Linked DNA regions of Arabidopsis thaliana. The protein of the gene in region 2 interacts with the protein of the main gene of each other region in a biochemical or structural test. Each region holds a gene or a part of one and is shown on either strand. Other genes may lie near its edges.

What was found.
Region 1: of the proteins of AGD5 (region 2) and MC9, one has a biochemical effect on the other in vitro, tested with the Arabidopsis thaliana proteins (one large-scale study listed by BioGRID).

The regions. Positions count from the first base shown.
Region 1 is NC_003076.8:1,151,140-1,156,664, reverse strand, and holds MC9 (metacaspase 9), read right to left. Parts: upstream 2,926-5,525; 5' UTR 2,773-2,925; coding exon 1,795-2,772; 3' UTR 1,625-1,794; downstream 1-1,624. Other genes in the region: SYTC (Calcium-dependent lipid-binding (CaLB domain) family protein), read left to right, coding at 1-256, 338-466, 552-680; AT5G04210 (CCCH-type zinc fingerfamily protein with RNA-binding domain-containing protein), read left to right, coding at 941-1,086, 1,175-1,610; PKS4 (phytochrome kinase substrate 4), read right to left, coding at 4,331-5,525. UniProt on the Arabidopsis thaliana protein: Cysteine protease that cleaves specifically after arginine or lysine residues. Does not cleave caspase-specific substrates. Required for proteolytic processing of GRI.
Region 2 is NC_003076.8:22,055,185-22,063,698, forward strand, and holds AGD5 (ARF-GAP domain 5), read right to left. Parts: upstream 6,087-8,514; 5' UTR 5,883-6,086; coding exon 5,832-5,882; intron 5,015-5,831; coding exon 4,956-5,014; intron 4,869-4,955; coding exon 4,778-4,868; intron 4,379-4,777; coding exon 4,324-4,378; intron 4,238-4,323; coding exon 4,147-4,237; intron 4,030-4,146; coding exon 3,798-4,029; intron 3,532-3,797; coding exon 3,318-3,531; intron 3,184-3,317; coding exon 3,011-3,183; intron 2,786-3,010; coding exon 2,546-2,785; intron 2,437-2,545; coding exon 2,360-2,436; intron 2,247-2,359; coding exon 2,078-2,246; 3' UTR 1,802-2,077; downstream 1-1,801. Other genes in the region: AT5G54300 (cotton fiber-like protein (DUF761)), read right to left, coding at 1-158; AT5G54320 (hypothetical protein (DUF295)), read left to right, coding at 7,621-8,514. UniProt on the Arabidopsis thaliana protein: GTPase-activating protein (GAP) for ADP ribosylation factor (ARF). Mediates clathrin-dependent trafficking of vacuolar cargo from the trans-Golgi network (TGN). Promotes plant growth.

The DNA.
Region 1 (5,525 bases), about 21 Mb from region 2:
TGTTGTTATGGATTCTGGAGACAAGAAAAAAAGAGGAAGATTAGAGGTTGATCTCAGGTATGTGCCATTCAGAGAAGAAAGCATTAAGCGTAGAAAAGAGAGCAGAGAAGAGAAATCATCAGAGGACGATGATTTTCTCAGCCAAGCCGGTCTACTCTCGGTTGCAGTCCAATCTGCAAAAGATGTCGAGGGCAAGAAGAAACACTCGAACCCTTATGCTGTTGTTCTCTTCAGAGGAGAAAAGAAGAAAACTAAGGTAAAATTCTAAATCTGCATTTTGCTGAGAAGCTACTTAAGAACTATTTTGAGTTATATTGGCTACCTTTTTCTTGATCAGATGCTGAAGAAAACACGAGACCCTCGATGGAACGAGGAATTCCAGTTTACACTAGAGGAGCCTCCAGTGAAAGAGAGTATACGCGTTGAGGTCATGAGTAAAGGAACCGGCTTTCACTTTCGATCCAAGGTAAAGATCTCATGCCTGTTAAAATCTCTGTTAAAGCAGACAGAGACATTTCAACTTATTATACCTTTGCTTAATCTCTGTATAGGAGGAACTAGGACATGTAGACATAAATCTGGACGATGTAGTTGACAATGGAAGGATCAACCAGAAATACCATCTTATCAATTCCAGAAACGGCATTATTCACATTGAGATCCGTTGGACAACTAGTTAACAAAACTGATAACAATTCTGGCATGAAGTTTTGTTCTAGTATGGCCTTTGTAAAATCTTGCATGTACTTGATCAAAATCATATAATTTTAATAAAATTTCGAAGTACATATTAAATGTTGATGTTTTCTGTACGTACGTATATTGGAGTAAATCTTCTTCTTATGTTTTAGGAATTAGTTAGCGCTACCAATTTCGTCTAGTTGCTTGTATCTACGTGGTCTGGTGATATATTGATTGTTTGTCTTCAATGTAGTTTTTTATGGCCCAAATTGAGGATAAAAGTAGGAAACTAGACTGCATACCAATTTGTCCTTTATTCGACGCTGGTCGCCAGTGTACAAGAGGTACCATGTGTCTATACCGCCATGAGATCAACAGAGGCTTAGATTGTCATGGTCGTTCTGGGTAAGCTATTCTACATACATATATAGATGTATATATATTCTCGAGTCTTTGTTTGTTTGTGTGTTTCATGTATTTTTCTTCACCGCAGGTTAGAAAACCCATTTGTACTCGAGGTGCTTGCAAGAGCTTGTAACACGGGCCCTTTGAAACCACCAGAGGATCAAAGTATTAAAACTCTTTACATCCGTAGACTTATTAACTCCAGTGTCCTCGAGCAGGACATCCGAGACCATTTCTGCCCCTATGGTGAAATCGAATCTATTGTTATCTTCCCCCACCGAGGAGGAGGCACCTGTGCCTTCCTCACTTACACTACCCGTCTAGCTGCTGAGAAGGCCATGCTTGAGCTCTCCTCCTGGACTGACATCAAAGGCCAGAGGGTTAAACTCTTGTGGGGACCTACTGAAAAATGGCAGCACAAAATGACTGGTGCTGCCATTTCTTCAACCCAAGAGGTTGGTTCTTCTAGCTCCAATACTGCTGACTTGGTAACTAAATTAGTACATTCTCTAGAAAAGCTTTAATTAAACCTTTTTGTACCATTAAAAAAGATAAATGTTATTAAACAAGTTTTATATGTCCTTTTTCCTTTTAGAGTACACCACAGAGAATAGAAAATACACACATTCCACCAGTTAACAATTTACAACAACCCCAAAGGCAAACGTGATAAAACAAATAAAAGAAAACAACGCAAACGTTTAAAATTCAAGGTTGAGAAAGGAACGTCGCGTCTGCGTTCTGGTCGCTGCAGTAGAGACAAGGGTGTTGATGAAACCCTAGTCTCTCAAGCACATCCCTTGCCATCATCACTAGTTGCTTGTTCTTCATGGCACCTTCATTTTCGTTCAACACCCTTTGAATCGCGTTGCTAAACGCTCCGTACGCTTTCCCGTTCCCAACGCCGACGTCAGCAGACGTCTCATCCGCCTGACACCCGCTCATCAATATCCCTGAGTCCACGTGTTTTTCACGGGCCGTCATAGTCTCCAAAAGATCCATTAGATCCATTGCCGGTAACCGAAACTTAAGACCAGCATCGCGGCCAAAGAGCTCAAGTAGATGTGTGCCGATGTCGGAAGTTGTAATTCCGGTGAGAGAACTCAAGTGGTCAAGGACTGCCTTGAAGGGCAAGGCACGTGATGTTATAGTCTTGTTCGTTGTCTCAATAGCCGGAGATATGTTGCTGGAGACCGAAGAGGGTCCGATCTGTTCTTTCTCCTTGTCGATGAGACCACCACTATGGCAAGAATCAGAGATCATGGTAAAGCTTGTTCCTTTAGGAAGTTGATTGACCAATTCTCGGAAATCAACATCTGTGATGAGATTGAAATCACAAGGAACAATAGCTTCGTCTTGTTTAAAAGGATGAGCAGATTTAACCGAAGGAATACGAGTTCCATGGCCACTGTAGTGGAAGAACAAGATGTCTCCAGATCCGGCTTGAGCTTTATCCACCATCCTACGTAGAGCAGCCTTGATGTTGGCACCTGTCGGCTTTACCTTTGATTCTGGCTCGTCCGTTAGCACCTCAATGTCGTCTTGTTTGAATCCGAAACGTGACAAAATAGTTTCTTTCATGGCTAGAACATCATTGATGCAACCGTGAAGCTCGTTCCTTGTGTTAGGGTAGTTGCAGCCGACGAGAACGGCTAGTCTTTTCTTGACCATCCCTTGTTGATCCATTGAGTTTCTGGATATGATTTCTTAAGGTTTAAGAGGTAATTTAAACAACTTTCTAGGCAAAATGTTTTGGGGTTTCTTGTGTACGTGTGTTTAGTTTTCATGTGCAGTGTTGTGGTTTTGGAGCTAATGTGTATTTATGATTGAGGTTTCGTGTAGTGAAGTTCAAGTTACATACGATATTAGTATTTATATTTTCAAGTCTAGTTTGCTTTTAAGCTATGGAACATTTTTTAATGGCTTACTCTTGACTTATTAATGCTTTCAAGCAAGAAACTAAACCTTAAATCAGACTTTTGAGAAAGACATAATTAATCCTAAGTCATGGATTCATGATTAATTTGGTTAACTTGGATATATACGTAACTTCAAAAGGGAAGTCATTTTCCCAAATATTTAGACCTAATCCATCTAGCTATCTAAGGGAAGAGAGGAGCTAATTAACTTTAAATGCTATGATATACGAATGTATATAACGTATACATTGTTGAAAATAATGTCAATTGACCAAACTATAATTTGCCTTAATCCTAAAGGACCGTCTATATACTTCGTGCACGCAACGGAAAAGTCTTTTTGAGACGAACCATTTATGCTATTAGCACCATCTTCACTTCACCTACGAGCCTAACTCTTGACTTCATATTTACAAGTTATATCCCCAAAAAAGAAATCAAACTTTCAATGGTAAACTCTTTAACAAAATAAAAAGCATTCAAATTAAAAGATAAAGCTTTTAGTAAACGAAAGACTAATCAGAAATTAAACGTCTTCATCAACTGAGAATTTTTCTTTTTGGTTTTATGTGATAAAAACACATGCTGGATTATGTTTTTAACAAATAAACAAAACTAAATCGATGACCAATACTACAGTCTGTTTATTGCATAAAGTTGTTTATATTCCTATGCATGCATTTATTATCTCTTGGGTAACGGCTTGGAATCATCTCCCAAGTTCCCAACTCGTGATAGATTAAGGAATTGGGGCATGAATATTCTTGAAATTTTTGTCTCCTCTGTAATGCACCTGAATCCAAGAACCACTTGTTTTCTGAATGTACCTACAACAAAGACACATGGGGCATCTTCTTTTGCTCAATTCAGCCCGCCTACAATCTTTGAAGATTGATGTTTCCATGGGACCTCAAAGAAGTAGTGGATGAGGTTTCTAAAGAAAGAAATCGTATAACCAAGTGTTTTGTGGTCCATTGGTTTGTTCGAGTGGATAGAGGATTCGCTATGTGGGTCAAGGCTACGAATCTATTTCTTGACTATAGACGCCTTAAATACAACATACAAGTATTGAGGATTAGTTTGGGTTTCACTCCGGGATTTACTCCGGTTATTACAAAAAAATGTGATCAATATTGTGATAAATACAGGACACATTGATTTTGTTTACTTCACAAACCATAATCTTCATTAATCATTACACAAGTTATATTAACCAAAAAAAAGAAGAAGAAAAAACAGAGCAATTTTACACGAGAAGCATCCAAAACACACCAAGATAACTGGAGAAAACCGGATCTAAACCAAGAACAAAGATTTGGTATCCATCATTGCCTTGGTCTACTCGTCACGCTTAGTTTAGAACTGCCATTGTTGCACAACACCTTTCCCGCGACGTCGTTTTGAACACCAACGCTCTTAACCGGTTGCACTAAACGCTTATCGCCGTTAACCATAACCGCCTTCTCACAATGACAGTTCAACAAACCGGTTCTCTTCTTATCGTAACCACTAAATGCTGTAGACGATGACGACAAGGCAATTCTTGAGAAGTTAGCTGCAACGGCCGAGGCCGGCTCGGCGGTCATAACGCTCCAAGTAACACTTGCTTCGCTTGGCTCGTAACCGTACTCAGACACGGTCTCTTCCATCGAGTCCCGTACTGGTGGAGCCCATGGACGAGCTGCGGTTTGAGTAGAGAAGCTCTCTATCTCAAAAAGATCGGAGCTTGCGTCGCTTGTGGCTTCTTCGTCTATGATGACTCCCTTGGGACTCGTAGGATTCAGAACCGGTTTAATCGGAAGCAGAGCCGGTTCAATTCGTACCGGTTTAATATGATTCAAAACCGGATTCTTGGGATTTTCTGATAATTGTGAAGTTTCGTTTAGAGTTGGGAAGCTAAAATTACTAACTGGAGCTCTAGCTTCTTTGTTTGCAGTGTAATCGATGGACCGAGTCACAGTGTTTGAAGGGATCGTTAATCTTATTGGCTCAGGTGAAGATATCGTCTGATGACTATGAACTATTCGGTTCGAGACGATTCGGTCAGAACCGGTTTTGGGCACTGCGATTCTTGGTTTGGATTCTTGGACCTGAACGGACTTGGAGCTAGAACATGGACAAGCCCTGCGTCTAAAAAACCATCTTGGTCCTTTCTTGCTGCTTCTACGTCCATCTCTGTCCGATCCTTGGCGGTTTTTGTTAGAGAGCAAACCGGTTTGGCTGTTCCAGCTAGCTTCAGAGGATGCCGTTTGTCCCACGGTAAAAGAAGACACTTTTGCAGATGCGACCGAAGAAAATCTTGGACCACTTAGATTCCTCGTCTGGCATCGACTATCGTTGCTTCCGTTTTCGCTAAAGTAACTTCGAGCTTCGAAGATACTTAGCTCAGTATCTTCATTCTCCTTTTGTTGTTGTTCGTTGTTGTCTGGTTTGAGGTAAGAAGAGAAGGAGACATCGATGTCGTTTGATCGATTCTGAAGAATCTTGATGTAAGGATCAAGAGCATCGCGTTTGGTCGCG
Region 2 (8,514 bases):
AGGAAGACGGTGTTATCGTAAATAATCGGAAAGCAAGAGACTACGAAATGGGAAACGGAAGGGACCGTGAGAATCATCGCCGTGGCAATAGATGAAACGCCGGCGATTACGACGGTGGCCGTCGTTTTGAAGGAAGAGGTAGGGAGAAGAAGAGGCATTGAGAATTGAATTGAATGATGTAATTTGTTTTTGCTTTGGGAATTTCAAATTTTGTTAGTTCGGTGGTTCTTATCTACGAAAATAAACTAAAGAAGCTTTGAGATGTGTGGATTTATATAGATACGGTGAAATTTATAAATTCTTAAAAATGTGGTCCGTGTTTGTGTGGGCTTTTTACAGAATCATAAGTGGGCCTTATTTATTGAGGGTATGGTTATGGAGGCTTATCTGAGTGACACGTGTCAGTTTTGGGTTTTGACGTTTTAAGTTATAAACTTATAATATAAGCTTGCCTAACATTTGCAACAAGATTTTGACAATAGAAGTACAATATTTTATGCATTGTGTGTGATTAGAGAATTTGAGATTCGAGAATCTGCCACCTACGTACCAAGTCGTACCGTTGATTTTTGTTTTTTCACTTGGCAACAAAAAATTTAGTCGATTGTGTCTTCATTTTATTTATTTTTTTGGGGAGAAATTTCGAGTCTTCATTAGTTCATTTTATGTATGTTAGTGTTAATTTGAGTTTAGCCGATCTAGAAGATATTTGTAAATGGAAATATTCTTTTTTGGTTTTGTTATTGTAAAATTATATAATTGTAAAAAAGTTATGGTTGCTAGCAAAAAAAAACAAAGTAGTTACTGTTGAGCTAGGATTTTTAGGTAATGTAGGCCATTTTTCATTGACATTGTAAAATTAATAGTTGAAAGTCATAGTGAGAATGCGAATTATGATGCATGTGAATACTGTTTTAGATAAGGACATGCAGATTGTAACATAAAATAATTGAGATAGATGCATACGTATATATCATTCTCAATGCTAAACGTTCAATTTTGTTTTCATATTAGTGCTTATATTAATAGTAGATTTGATTTGACAATTCAAACTCACGAAAGATATATATCGCATTACGGGTCAACAAGCACAACAAAATTCTACCGACCATTTTGGATTTTTGTACTTGATACTGATTGATCTTCTTATGCATCATAAATATTGGCTATATCCTCTACATAGTATAATAGAACTTAAACTTTAAACTTCTGCCCTAAGGTCGGTACAAGTCCGACATGGTATTTTTGTTATAATAACCAAATGAGTAATGCTAAAGTCCAACGTGGTGTTTTAGTTTATGTTTGCATTAGATCAAGGACGATGTACGTGTAAGAGAAAACCAAAAAAAATGCAAGAAAATAATATAATTAAATACAATGTAGTGCACAACTTCATTTGTTGTGCTTTGTGATCAAGCGAGGATTTGTAGAAATGGTATTTACAGATTTACGTTGTCATCATTGATTACAGTTTTGCATTTTGTAGCTAATAAAACATCTTGTAACGAAAAAGGTAAACAAAGGTTGGCTAGTGGGAGGTACACAAGCTTGTGGTGAAGAAGGAGGATGAGCTTTAAGCCATTTGACCGAAAGCCCGACAATGCCAAACTCAAAACTTTATAACGCTAAAACAGCCGCCCATAACAAGAAACAAGTTCAATATCAACACGTCGCCTTTATTGATCTTACCAATAAAGGTCGATTAATTTGTTTTCTTTCAAAGGCTTTTCGGAACCGTTTCTTTGTTTTGCTTAGTTCCAAAAAATTGGTATGTCACAAACTTCGTACCAAAGCAAATAAAAGCAGTAAGTGGAAGAGAACAATCCACGTTTTGTGGCGGTCTCACCGATAAATCTTTTTTTTTTTTCCTTTCTTAGCAAGAATTACATCTATTAATTTTTCGACAATCGAGTAAAATCATAAATCAAAGCTCGGCTACAACACAGTTCCAAAGAAAAGAAAATATATGTTTAACAGAGAAAAACTGTCCAGAGATGATTGTATATATATTCTTTTGGTTCTTCAAATTTAGAACAAAGATGTAAAGGCAAATTCAGAAAAAGTCTCTCTCTCTTGATCAATGTTTTGTGAACATTCCATCCATCAAGGAAGAGAAATCAAAGTCTTTGCCTGATTGTGAAGATGGTGTGGTGCTTGTTGGTTGGGTTGCGGATGATGACTGAGGTTTACCGGTTGAGTTTGGGGTCATACCGTTCACTTGATTAGCTTGACCCATTGTGTAGAAACTGCATTATTAATAACAACCAAAGATCATATGAGAGTTAGTTAGGTTAAGCACTTTTGATAACGTTATGATGTTTTCAGAAGAAACAAACAAGATGCAGTTTTGTGTGCATACCTGGATGATGGGTATTGTAGAGTGTTCTCTTGCGGTTGTGCGGGTCTCGTGTTCATGTTTGCGTTCATATTCATGTTCTAAAATTATGGCGATGTAACAGAGAGCAAGAATTAGTGAGAATTTTGCAAGAACTTTGGTCAATGGTAATATTGATCTTGCTTAAAAAAAGTAAAGGGGAGATCTTACTTGCATAAGTTTCTGGAGATCAGCTTGACCACCTACGGGGTTAGTCATTCCGGGGATCTGGTAGCCGCCGGGGTTTGACCAATTTGCAGAAGCTACGTTAAGAGCATTAGCAATAGCTTGTTGATTCACGCCGTTTGGAGTGCCTCCAGCAGCTTTCGCTGCAGCCATGTAAAGGGCTTGCTGCTGAGCGAGCATAGCAACCTGTTGCTGATGCATGGCAAAAGGCGATACTATATTCGTCTGTAATCAAATAGAACACACAGAGTTATATCACTTGAATCTGCTCTGGTGTTCCAAATGTCCCGTGTTGAAGAAATCATAGTAAGTGATAACAAAACACAAATCATATCATTCGCTATATTTGTAAATGTAAGTTAAATAATGATACAAAAACGAAACTTGGAAAGCTGAATATCAACAAAGCAGTGAAATCTGAGAAGCGTATATAATTAACTAATAATTTACCTTCTCAAACAGGCTCATGATATCGCCTTTCACATCTTTTGGTGCTTGTTGAGTTGTTAAATTAGGTGTGTCCTTAAACAAATCCTCAAAGTCAGAAGATGAAGCTGGAGGAGAACTGCTCTCAGCAGGCTTGGCTGTGACAATTTTCTCTGCCGTTTGACCACTTCCAGCAGCTACAGTTTTAGGATTCAGAAATTAATCTATTACTCCAAAGCATTTTCAAAAGAAGAACAATTGACATAAAGTTAACAAGGATAGGAAAAATGTGCCACGATGTTAGATTATCACATGCTAGATAGATACATACACTGAAAGCCAGCCCATGAGTTATCATCGGCAGGAGTATCGCCAGGAGTTGCCTCTGAGGTATTTGTAGTCGAATCATCCATTGATAGCATGTTAAACAGATCAGTAGCAAAATCCACCTTTGGAGGATCTGATGCTGGTGCAACATTTACTGCTTGTTTCTCCCTCTCTACTGGAGTAGCTGCAGACTCCATTTTCTGCTGTGGCTTTATAACCTGTCATTTTTAGCATCATGTATCAGAAAAACCAGGGTTTGGATACTGTAAGAAAGACACGTTGACAGATTATGAGGCTCTAAAAACACAGTGAGTAAAATAATGATCTGACAGCTACAGCATATGCATTGACAAAAATAATGATCTCATAGCTGATATCCTAAGATTATTAAATAAGATCAAGGAATACGGATCCTTAATACTGATGAGTAACTAAAGGTATGGCTCTTTAGTTATACAGATCTTCTGAGAAGTATGTTTGGTACCTGACTGGGTCCTTGGGGAGGCACGGGAAGATTTATTCTCGTTGCAGCAACATTATTTCTTGTTCTAGATGCTGGAATAGTTTTCCTCTCCTCAAACAAATTTACAGGACTACTACTATGTCCATGCTCATATCCCGGCCCACTTCTCTCCACAGATTTCCGCCGTTCCTGCTCGACTCTAGGAGGTGATCTAGCCTTTTCCCCTCTAGAAACCCATCTCTTCTCTTCATACCTAGAAAAGTCATATGTCATAAGAATGATTTCAACGTCCATATGAATAGCAAGATAGACAATTCAATGAGGTGGAACTAACTGAAAAGTTTGTATAATGAAAAAGAGAGATACATACTTTGCACGTATAAAATTCTCAATTCCAACTCTATCATAGTTTGGGGGTAGCTCTGCTTCCCAGTAACTATTTGCTTTATCATTTCCCATTGCTGCATGCAAATAAAAGATTATATACTTTACATTGCGTAACAACCCATGAATCAGCCATAGAGCATTTAGTTTAAAAGACACTTACACTGTATAAATGCAACCTGCTCGGGGAGCCATGTGTCCAGAGTGGCAGATCGAACCTGCACTCATTAGCCCAGTCAGGTGTTTTGGTAGAAAATAAAGTAGCTTATGCTGCTAAGGTTAACATCTACTTGACAAAAGGACACGGCTCATACAAAAATCAGAGGGCGAAATCAAATCATGTACTTTTGCACAGAGTTGCTTGAAGTTCGTGTGTAAACTGTATCGACGACAATGGGAGTACAAGAAGGTGGGGAGATTTAATGCATTCATGTCAAACTTTCCAGCTCTTGTGATGGAAAATACAAAATGAAATTGCTAATACAAAAACCAAATTGAAAATTTGTGCAGAGAATTTGAGCCAAATGGAATGAGTTATTCATCGAATTAATATCTGAGCTTTCGTAAAAAAATGCAGCATCAAGAAAACAAATGTAGAAAGGAAAGTGAGAGACTACCTTCGATATGTGTACCCCGAGACTCCTGTGAATCCCAGAACATTGCATGCAGATAAAGATACCTAAATTAACACTAGCCCATCTTGGACCTCTGCAAAGCAAATGGAACAGTATTAGCAAATACATACATGAACCAGCATAATAATGCTGAAAATTCACATCAGGTAGAAAACTATACTTTGTTTTGCAGTCAGCACATTCTCTGTTCTCTGGATGTTTAAGAAGCCCTTCAAGAATCTGCAGATAAGTAGCACCAAAATCAAATGAATATTCAAGCAATAGACTACATAAACGAAAAAATCATACGTCGCAAAACATAAAGAAGAATCTACACATACAAAATATAGAGTATCTCAAGAAAACTTCAAAATTATCAGAATTGACATGTTTAACTAACCAAAATGAATCAAAGTTCTCATTGCAGTATGAGATAAGTTTCGTCAATGAATGAACACCAAAGTTCTCGAAGACTCGACATACAACATCATTCCTAATATCCTATACATGTATGCATCACCAATCCCACAAAGCTATCCCAACTACAACTAATAGTTTCAACATGGCAAATAACTCAAAGACTACCAAGCACAAATGAAAATCCCTATGGGACGCTAAGCTCCTTGGATCCCTGTGTTCGATTCTTTCCAAAATCAAACAATTGAATACGAATTTCTATAGGAAAACACTAGAATTCAAGCTCCATGAAACTGTAACATTCAATAAGCCGACGTTGAATATAAAACAATTCAAAAACCCGATCGTGATCAACTATTGTCCTAGACAACAAATCGAAATAGAGAAACTGATTTTCATTGCTGATGAATAATAATTCTAGCTCAATCGATCGAAGAAGATAAGGATCGACGATACAAATCCTCTCCTAACTAGAGGAAACCGAAGAAAATGAAGGAAGGATAGCTGCTAATGCACAGATCCAATCGAATTAAGATCGATCATATATTGTTGGCAACCAAATTCAAATATATGACGACAAATCCACAAAGCTCGGAGAAAATAAAATAAGAGAATCTGAGATTCGAGATTAGAGAGAGACCTTTCTATGGCGGGCATTAAGCTCCTTAGAGACGTTGGCTTTCTCGTTCATGGCGGATAGATAAAATCAAAAGAAGGAGAATCGGAGAAAGAGGAAGAAGAAGAGCTGAAGAAAAATGATCTACGGAGACGACGAGGTCAAAATAGTCTTTTCCGCCTTCAGCGCTCTTCAATATCTCTCTCTTCTTCTTCCTCTCCGAAAATTAAAAATCCTTTTTTCTTTGCCCTTTGAGAACGAGCGACCAAGAGAGAGAGATGGGTCAATACTTTTTGGACCGTTCAGATTATGGTACTGGTTTATTAATCCGGTTTTAGATTTCATTTTCAAAATTGAATATGGTTCGGTTTAATTTCATTTCGGTTTAAATTTTCAAAAATAATTCGGTCACTCGTGATTGCAGCACCTGAAAATTTTCAAAGAAATCTACACATGAATATTTGTGAAAGTGTAATCATATAAAATTGGTTAATTTGTGACTAAGTGGGTTTTGATTTATCAAAAATAAGGTCGGTTTATTTGGCGGTTTAAGTGGTTTTTTTGATTGGTCATATATAAGCATTAGAGTGTTGCGGGTGGAAAATAAATCACATGGCCATCTCATCACCTGTTATGTCTGTATCCACTTTGGAGTGGTTGTTGTATTGATTCCAATTTCTTTGTTTATTTATGTGATGTTTATGGGACATATTTTATTTGCTAAGATTTTTATTTGATGTGACGATGAGTCAACGAATGTTCCAACCAACACAAATTTCAATTTAAACCCAAAAAAATAATTATATTATTATCTCTTAGATTCCTAATTTTTCAAACTGATATTTGTTTGTCAATACGAACTATAATCCTAACATTCGACAAACTCTAATTTAATAGGTATACATTAGGAACTATAATACATTGTGTGTGAATAAACCTAAAAAAGTTTTGTAGTCTAATGAGAAGTGGTCTCTCGCTGGCTCTAAACCTCATAATCGGTTTGGTCTAAGTAGCACCTTTACTTATCTGTATGTGGAATATCATCGGGAGTTATCACAAATATAATCCCAAAGCCTTTTGAAATTTCTAACTTCTCTAACTTCATCCACATATATATACTTTCCAATTTTGAAAATATATAGATCCACTTAGTATATTTCCATTTTAAGTCGCCATTAGAAGAGAGTTATGCTACCAACTTTGGCAATTAATATGCTTTTTAGGGGATGTGACGTCGCGATTATGATGGGATGAGCTTGGAAATATATGATCATCATAGCCATCTCTCTTTGTTATCAGTGCGAGGACCAACTTTTCAGGAGGATATTTGCACATCTAGAAGGAAGATTTTTCTCATATAGTAAATAGACGACTGCTTATTTTTGCTTCTCGAATTACTCTCCATAGCCTCTCTTCAAGTATTCTCAGATCTCAAACCCTCTGACACGTATAGAGACTTCCCCACATTTTGCAAACTTTAATTTCTTCTTAATCAGACTTAGCTTCAAGCTTTATCTCAATCATGTACATCTCACATTGTTTTTCTAAAATTTGAGGATATTGATTCTGGAGTATGTATTGTTATGTAAATAAGTATTTATAATTAAATCAAGTATATGGAAAATATATTCGAAGAAACAAACTTCATATAATAAGGTTTGAACGTGGTTAATTAAAATGATATCCAATTAAGATTGTATCGGATCTTGGTGGTTATTTATGTGAACATCTCAACAACTAGGGTTTTGTTTTGTTTACTCTTTCTTATTTGATTCTCTTGCAGCCTCGCTTTCCCCTAAAACACTTCTTATCAATGGCGCTGCTTCTCAACCAACCCTTGAAGCTACTATGCTTTCGGAGGAAACCTGTGTTGGTGAGATCATCTCCTCTTCTCTCTAATGATGGCTTATCATCTTCTTTGCTGCAAACTCCTCCTTGTTTCGTCGTCAGCGCTAAACGTTGTGGAAGACTTGCGAAAGAGGGAAAACTCGTGATTTTGAATCCTTATGAAGATGAATGCACTTCTTTGGATAAGAAGGTGCCTATGGCGTTGTTGTATGATAATGAACTTGTAACCATCGGTTCATCCCATGGCTGGATAGCTACTTTGAGTCAGGACGACGGACTACTGCGTCTCCAAGACGATCTAAACCCGGTTGCATCGGATACTAACCCGAAACGCATTCCCCTGCCTCCTCTTGTAACTCTCCCTCATTGCCAAACTCAAATCGTTACCAATGTGTCATTGTCCGCATCTTCTCCTGAGGATGAAGACTGTGTTGTGGCTGTCAAGTTTTTGGGACCTCAGCTCAGCTTTTGCAGACCGGCTCAAAGTAACTCCGAGTGGATCAACATCAGAATCGAAAACCCTTGTTTCTACTTATCTCGTGTCATGTACTCCAAGAAAGATAACATGTTTTGCATTCCCGGATCTGGAGGACACCTCATTGGAACATGGGATCTCCGCACACACAAGCATAATTTGCAGAGCTTGCAGTTTCAAAACCTTCCCAAGCTGACAAAGACCAAACAGAAGCTACTGGATTCATGTTGCAAGAGCGAGCACTTGGTTGAGTCACCAGCTGGTGAAACTTTCTTGGTTAAGTGGTACAAGAAGTCTTCAAGCAAGATCATCAAGGGTATTGCGCAAATGAAAACACAAGCTTTAATGGTGTTCAAGCTTGACGAACAAGGAAACGCGGTTTAC